Arabidopsis thaliana: one gene and its partner. The protein of the gene in region 2 interacts with the protein of the main gene of each other region in a pairwise test. Each region holds a gene or a part of one and is shown on either strand. Other genes may lie near its edges.

What was found.
Region 1: the proteins of AT5G64780 (region 2) and AT5G65400 interact in a two-hybrid assay, tested with the Arabidopsis thaliana proteins (one large-scale study listed by BioGRID).

The regions. Positions count from the first base shown.
Region 1 is NC_003076.8:26,129,615-26,133,833, forward strand, and holds AT5G65400 (alpha/beta-Hydrolases superfamily protein), read left to right. Parts: upstream 1-1,668; 5' UTR 1,669-1,779; coding exon 1,780-2,112; intron 2,113-2,270; coding exon 2,271-2,369; intron 2,370-2,466; coding exon 2,467-2,508; intron 2,509-2,737; coding exon 2,738-2,882; intron 2,883-3,126; coding exon 3,127-3,228; intron 3,229-3,356; coding exon 3,357-3,448; 3' UTR 3,449-3,686; downstream 3,687-4,219.
Region 2 is NC_003076.8:25,899,879-25,903,992, forward strand, and holds AT5G64780 (holocarboxylase synthetase), read right to left. Parts: upstream 2,250-4,114; 5' UTR 2,078-2,249; coding exon 1,919-2,077; intron 1,356-1,918; coding exon 1,275-1,355; intron 1,110-1,274; coding exon 822-1,109; 3' UTR 534-821; downstream 1-533. Other genes in the region: AT5G64790 (O-Glycosyl hydrolases family 17 protein), read left to right, coding at 2,835-3,181, 3,495-3,951, 4,028-4,114.

The DNA.
Region 1 (4,219 bases), 230 kb from region 2:
GAATACATTTTCAAAACTAAACATAATTAAGTGATAGATCATTTTATCACTATAATGTAGTCGCATATATGTATATATATAATTTTGTAGGATTTTTAGGTTAACTCAATTTTTAGCTCTTAGTTGTAAATTTGTCATTTTTTAATGATTTGGTAAGTATAGTAGATGAGAAATCGAAGTTGAGAACCAATTCTATCCGTTGAGTATAAAATCATCAATGGTTTTAGAAGACCGGATTGGTTTAGCTAAATCGAATCATGATTGTCAATAATAATTGGAGAGAGAAAACGTATAATGAAGTAGTATTGAATATTGTATCATGTTTGTCTTACTGTCTAATCGATCCACCCACCGATAATAATAGTATACTTTTTCTGATATAGTAAATAGTAACGATCTCTTTGCCCGTATACGATGAACCTTAATGACAAAAATACAGATCTATCAAGAAAGAACGATGTCGTTATTATCGTATATCCCATGTGCGTAGCAGACCTATCGGGATAATTTTTGATTACTGGTTATGGTTTTATTGTTGTCGTTACCGTTGGATATTTGCTGTTTTTCGTTTTATTTATTTTCTTTTGTCCATTACTATCTCTTGTGTTTGTTGCTAGTAGTAACAAGAGTTGGAGATAGCTGTCAGAGAATTTTATATAGTTGAATAATAAATACAAATATTATAACCCCAAATAAAACGGGTACATATACATTACAACATAACATAACAACGGAAGAAGACATTTGATAGCCTGTAAAGGTCATTTTACAGTGAATCCAGAAGGTTCGTATTAATCATTAAATTAAAATATAATCGGTATTTGACAAAATGAACTGAATTATAGTTGGCAATTTTATGAGGCCCATATGATGCGAAACCAACCGACGATTATACACTATACCTACAATTTTTATTGCACTGACTCGATTGATTAATCCCTAACTAAAAGTTCAAAATATTTGCATCCAACTTTATTTTCATTAGTGTGAACATCAATATAAAGAATTGAGAAGATCATTACAGGTTGTTTCAGATGATAACGACAAGTTCGTTATATATGCACTATAACTTGCTTTGTTACATATGCTATAAAGTTCATTTGCAATATATACGATTTGATTACATCAGTGTGGGATTCCTAGAGGATGAATTAAGTGTTAAAAATGAATCTATACATAGTAGTTTGCTTTGAATCCATATGAAAAAACTGTTGAGGTTTAATGTCGAAATTTCTTTATCTTTGGCTTCGGCTGCAGTCAAAATTGCCGAAAGACCACCTCGACTCCAAACCATTTTCTTGATAATTGTAAAAAAAAAAAAAAAAAAAAACATGATGTCCCATATGCGTGTCTAATAATATATATAGCCAAGAAGCATATATTTATTTAGGGGAAGAGAATGCTAAAGCATGAGTTTTGTGCTGGCTTTATGTTGTTGTAACTCTTAGAGCAACATGTATTCACTTCTAACTGAACTTTACATAATTTAAAGCATGATTTGGATTATCTAAAAAAAAGTTAGATTATGATGAATATACAAGTTTTTTTTGTTAGTGGAAAACTCTCATTTCTTCGAGTAAGCTTCTCCATACATAATTTTCATTGTCTATATATATATTGATCTATTTGTAATTGTAACTCTTGAAAGTTTGGAAAATATTTGTAATAAGAGATAAACAATGATATGGGCCGATATTTGCGAAACTGATTTCAAAGGATTCTTCTTTATGGGCCTATAGAGTTTTGGGCCTTTCTACCAAAACTTTCGCGACAAGCGATATGTTAGGGCACAAGGACAATTCGAAACCTGAGAAGAGAGCTAGAGCTTGTCAGATGTTAGGATACTCCTATCCTTGTTTCCAAACGGGATTACGGTTAACGACGGCGATGGCGCCGGAAATTCACCTGAAACCGAAGAACCCTAGAATTTTATGCCTTCATGGATTCAGAACTAGTGGTCGGATTCTCCAAGCCGGTATAGGTAAATGGCCGGACACAATTCTCCGAGATCTCGACCTCGATTTCCTTGACGCTCCTTTTCCGGCCACCGGGAAATCGGACGTCGAGCGTTTCTTTGACCCACCGTATTACGAGTGGTACCAGGCTAACAAGGTTCGTTGCAACAAAATCCTAAATTTCCTTGAATTCAGTATTGATCATTGACACTGTTAACACTATCAGAGTAAAGGTTGTTTTTTTTCTCTAGAAAACAGAGAGATTTGGTCTAAGTTTGTATACATAATTTGATTTGTGTGTGTGTGTGTTTGCAGGGGTTTAAGGAATATAGGAATTTTGAAGAGTGTTTGGCTTATATAGAGGACTACATGATAAAGAATGGACCTTTTGATGGTCTTCTTGGTTTTTCTCAGGTTTGTTTTGATTCTTTGGCGAGATTTTAGTACTGATCACTTTCATATATATCAGCAGGAGGATCGTGGACCGTTGATTCTTGATCCATTCTTGCAGGGAGCTTTTCTAACTGCAGCTATTCCTGGAATGCAAGAACAGGTACATAACTGCATAACTGATCATAATCCTGGTTCTGAGATTGAATCTGCTTATGATATTTTGAAGAATGAAACCTATTGTTAGAGTAGTTTTCTATTGTTCTGTTTTGAGCAAGTGTGTGATGTTGAAACCATTTATATGCAACAGAGAGGTTGAATCTGAATTGAAGAATGAAACATGTTGTTTTAATAGTTTGAGTAAGTCTGTGATGTTGTAAACTGTTTTGTAGGGATCGGCTCTAACTAAGGTGCCAAAAGTCAAGTTTTTAGTTATCATTTCTGGAGCGAAAATTCCAGGGTTGATGTTTGGGGAGCCTAAAGCTGCTGTTAATGCATTCTCATCTCCAGTTCGTTGCCCATCACTCCACTTCATAGGTAAACTGTTACTACGTTGCGCATGTTCTTGACTTGATTTCTCGGTTATGTTGTAATGCCAAGTTTCTGTTGTTTGAAGCTTACGTTAGTAGTGTGCCTTTAGTGTAGCCAAGATTGGCATGGGAGTGTTTAGACTAGAATCTAATCTGCAGCACTACATGTTAACGTTAGAGATTCTCTCCTACAACATTTGATATGACATAAGAGACAACTTGTTTGTAATTCTGTATCGGTTTTGCTGCAGGTGAGAGGGATTTCCTGAAGATAGAAGGTGAAGTGCTTGTAGAATCATTCGTAGAGCCAGTGGTGATCCATCATTCAGGTGGACACATTATACCAAAACTCGGTTAGTAAGCATGAAAGGCTGATCATTTAAGCTCTGATTTTTTTTGGAGAAATATGCAATTGAAATAAGTAACATAAGATCTGTCTCTTCTTAATTTACTCTAATGAGCTTATCTTTGTCTTCTGCAGATACTAAAGCTGAGGAGACAATGTTGAGTTTCTTCCAGAGCATTAGGCAGATGCTTTCTGATGAATCAGGTTCTGTAAGAAGCTTGATGTGACTGAGAGCTACTCCAGTATGGTTTACTTTAGATTAGATGATCTTGCAATTTTATAAAATTGTGAGATGTGATTATTCTTCTGGTTTAGTCTTTATCCAGGGACAATTCAATAAACGTAAATTATTAAATTTACCAACCAATATGGATTGCCCGTTCATGTAATTACAGTTTATAGAGAAGAGCCAAAGATGGTCAAATAGTTTGGTACAATTGTCTTCCTTTAAATATATGAGCAGCCAATATCAAAAACTCTATTCAAACTTTTTTCTTTGTTATAGGAAAAATGTTAGGAGAATTTAACAACAAAAAAAAAAAATGATGGAAGAACAAAAAATATGGAGGGGGGCATCAAAGAAGGTGAGTTAAATTATTGTCCTTTAGATGTATTAATGGTCAAATGGATCTCATGATAATCTATGAGTTCCACTTGTAACAAAGTTTTACTTCTTTTTCAATCTACCCCCTTATACCCTATTAACTTAGCCTTGTCGGTTGCTTTCTAGTCTTAAAAAAAAAACAAAATTTCAACTCTTTTTTTATTCTTGTATGAAATAATTGATTGAACATATCGAATTACAGATCATATGATTACCCCTCATTTCAAAATAAATATATGATAAACAGTAGACGTCGACATGGGTTGTGTAATTTCAGACTTATATGTATACCCATCATAAGTATTCTCACGCTTGCAAAGCTTTAACTGTTTAGTTTTCATGCACTTTTAACAAATCATCATCATAATCTATTTTCAACAATTTGCTTATATCT
Region 2 (4,114 bases):
GTTTGAACTTTATTTTATTATGACCGTTTTGATACCCCATTGAAATGTATATGGACCTATGACCTGACTCCTGAAATAATTATGTGTGGACCTAATTATTTATAAATTCTTAGTGACAAGTTGTTTCGAACACTTTCAAATTTTATTATAGCTCTAGTTTATATGATTAGCTAGATGAGTTGATTAGACTTTTACGTTTGAAAACACCGTGGCAAATAAAAAAAGACACAAAATTTGGAAAAAATCTAGATAGAAATCAGCCAAAATGTCATTGTGCCAAGATGTAGTGACAATCTCCAGACAACCACCTTGATGAATGTCTTGTTAGTACAGATAACACCATGACCAAAAGAAGAAGAAAGTGTGATTCTGTAACTTTTGTTTTTATCTGTCCATAGATTTTTGAACGAGAAGTTTCTTCTGAGGATTAGCATAAACCACGTAGCTCGGCGAAGATCAACATCAGGGCAATGTTTTTGCAGACAAGTTGAATTGAAAGAGGGACCATGAGAGCACATGGAAGGTTTTGGCTTCAATTTTGATCATTAGTCTTTGTCTCTCTTTCATCACTGTTAACAAGTCTACATTTAAGTCTTGAGAGCTTTAGACAAGACATGAAATCATCATATCGCCTATCGACAAAATCACTATCAGAGATTTGTCTATCTTAAGGGTCAATTCACATTCATCCAGCTTCTTTGAAAGATTAGGAAAAAGTGTTTTGTGTATTACATGAGACAATACTTTACCACAAACAATTGAGACTTTACAATGGAATGATTTATGTTTTTCATCTTTCGGCAAATGAAACAAGATTTTATTCAGTAAGATAAGTGTTCACCTGTAGAGTTGGGATTGTAGTTATTATTACCAGACTCAGCCTCACACAAGTTGAAGTCCTGAAGGGTTCTTCGAACCGGACTTGAGAGACCATTTGGTGGAATCAAGAGTTTCTCTTGGTTACAATCATAATGTTGTTGTTGTGCTATGTGACTTGAAGGAACATGAGCTACTGATGTATTTACGTTTGGTGGAGCGAATTGGTGCTGATAAAACTCTTGCATGGGGAGTGGTATCGACGTCTCCTCAGGTTCATATTCAAGCGCATTCTGCATATATGGTTTTAAAAGGTAAACACGAATAACTTTCAGATCAAACTAAAGATCGTTGGGACTTTAATGCGTAGCTAGTCAAGAGAGGTATAATCAATCTGAATTCCAATTACATAGCAGGAGCGTAATCAGAAACGAGATACTGTTTTCAAAGGAAAGTACCTGTAAGTAGGTAGTAATATCAGCTGTGGATACTCTAGTTCCTTGTTCTTCTTGTCTCACAATCCATTGGTAAAGCTTCTCCTGTAAAAAGAAAGAAAAAAGTAAAACTCAATGGACCAATCAAACCTCAAATCTCATACTACAATGTCATGAATCACTATTGAATGACGCCAAGAACGTCAAGCTGCCACCAAAAGAGAACAGCCATCCTAGTTCATCAATCTAGTAAAAAACAAAAGTAAGCACTTCAAGATCAAAAGGCCACAACTTTTATCAGTAAGACTGCTTGCTTAGCCTCATATCTAAACTAGCTTCATAGATCATAACCAATTTCAGAGTGTGTCTCCAATTAACTCACGTACGACAATCAATCGAACATAAACAAGCCAAAGAGATCAACTTTACCAAAACAACACATAAGAAACAACATTGAATATCCATGATTCATTCTGTGACTCTAAAATCTCGAGAGCAAACAGAAACCCAACAACACATAAGCACTCAATTTACGATTCAAGATAGTCAACCAACATCAAAACAAGCAACGAGAAGAAAACTTTTCAACTATGTTTCTATCTATCGAACCCAGAAGCCAAAAATCGAAACTGGATATAAAACAAGGTCAAGAGAGAGAGAGCAGAGACCATTCCGCGACGTTCACCGGCGAGGAAAGAAACGCGTTGGTGATTCATGGCATGTGTATAGAGCTGCGAGAGCGAATTAGCAGCGCCTCGAAACGCGCCATACATGGTTCGATCAACCTCATCGAGCCGCGTAGCCTCGGATTTTCGTTTCTTCCCCATTAGAGTCCGAACGAATCTCACAAACCCTAGAAATAGAATTGTCCAAGTTCTTAACAATTTGTAATTTAGGGATTTTAGAAAGAAGAAGAAGGATTATTGCCTTATTGGTGAAGGGAAGAAGAAGAAGAAGAAAGACTTGTGGCATTTACTCTGTAGAGATTCTGCCACGTGGCTTTCATGCTACTTTTAAGGGTCCCATATATCTAAAAACCTGGGCCCCACTATTGGCTTTGCAGACAAAAATTTTGAAGCTTTGGACTGTTTTTTTTTTCTTTGGTCCACGAATTTTTTTTTTTATGTGTAGAACCAAACCGTTAATAATTTGTGGATCTTCAATGAAAATAGTAGCTAATCACATATTTTGAGTTCAGACTGATTTATATACCAAAAATTAATATTAATAAACTGCTATCTCATTGTTTCAAGGATGTATTCGTTTAATAAGCAATTCGACCAATTATTAACAGCGATATACTCTCTTAACCAAAAAAAAAAAAACTAACTGATTCCGAAAAAAATACACACCTCTTTGTAGCTTGTAATTCTTTCTAAAAATAGAAATTTATTTTAAGCTTAATTAATCTTTCACTAACAACCTAAAAACATTCCTATTACAACGACCACCCAAGACACGAAAAAGAATTTTACCGACTGGAAGAAGAAAAAACATCAACCAGACAAAAGAAAAGAAAACAAAAACACATCTTCGAGATCAAACAAACCCTAATTATCATCCATCGTCGCCTTCTCAATATATATGGCCGGAAGAGCAGCGATGCTCGTTAACGTCGGGACGGTTATAATGACCGTTTTGACCCTGGCTAGTTTGGTCGGAGGCTTCGGTGTGAATTGGGGCAATATCGCATCACATCCGTTGAATCCCAACATTGTTGTTCAGATGCTTAAGGACAATAAGATCAATAAAGTGAAGCTTTTTGACGCTGATTCATGGACGATGAATGCTTTGGCTGGTACGGGCATGGAGGTTATGGTTGGAATCCCTAATAACCTTCTTGAGTCTCTCGCAGATGATTACGATAATGCTAAAGATTGGGTTAAAGAAAACGTGACCCAGTATATTCGTAAGGGTGGCGTCGACATCAAGTAACCTTCAAAACTTTTTCATTTTTTTGTAATCATGTTTTTACCATAATTCTATCTGATCGACTACATGATAAACCGATTTGATAAATAGATCGATTTTGGTTGGCTATTTATTTCCAATTTGAACAAAATCGCACCAATGAGATGATTTCATTTATTCAGACAATTTTTTTCCTGTTAATTTTTAATATTCTTAGTTTCTTGTTAAAATTTAATAATAATAATAAATTTGACATTATATTCATCTAAATACCTACAAACCGGTAAAAGTCGCTGTTTTGGGTGTATATTTGACCGAGAATTCATTCACTAGGTACGTAGCCGTGGGGAACGAGCCGTTTTTGTCTGCATACAACGGATCGTTCTTGAAGACAACATTTCCAGCGTTAAAGAACATTCACAAGGCGTTAAAAGAAGCTGGACACACCAATATAATGAAAGCCACGATCCCACAAAACGCAGAAGTTTACCAATCAGCCAACGACAAGCCATCAGAAGGTGATTTCCGCAAGGATGTCAAACAAACGATGCTTGATATCGTCAATTTCTTCCACGAAAACGACTTACCTTTCACCGTCAACATTTACCCTTTCCTTAGTCTTTACCTAAACGAGCATTTTCCCGTTGAGTTCGCTTTTCTTGACGGTGATGGTCAGACAATGACTGACAAAGGAAAGAATTATGATAACGTGTTTGACGCCAATTACGACACACTTGTTTACGCGTTGAAGAAGGCTGGGATTCACGATATGAAGATTATCGTTGGAGAGGTAACGTGACAAGCAAGTTATTAATTAGATATATTTATCAAGAATGTTATTGAGTTTGGTTTATGTTTTTCTTTAGGTTGGATGGCCAACGGATGGTCACAAATATGCATCGCCGAAGCTAGCGGAGAAATTCTATGCAGGGCTTATGAAAAGACTTGCTAAG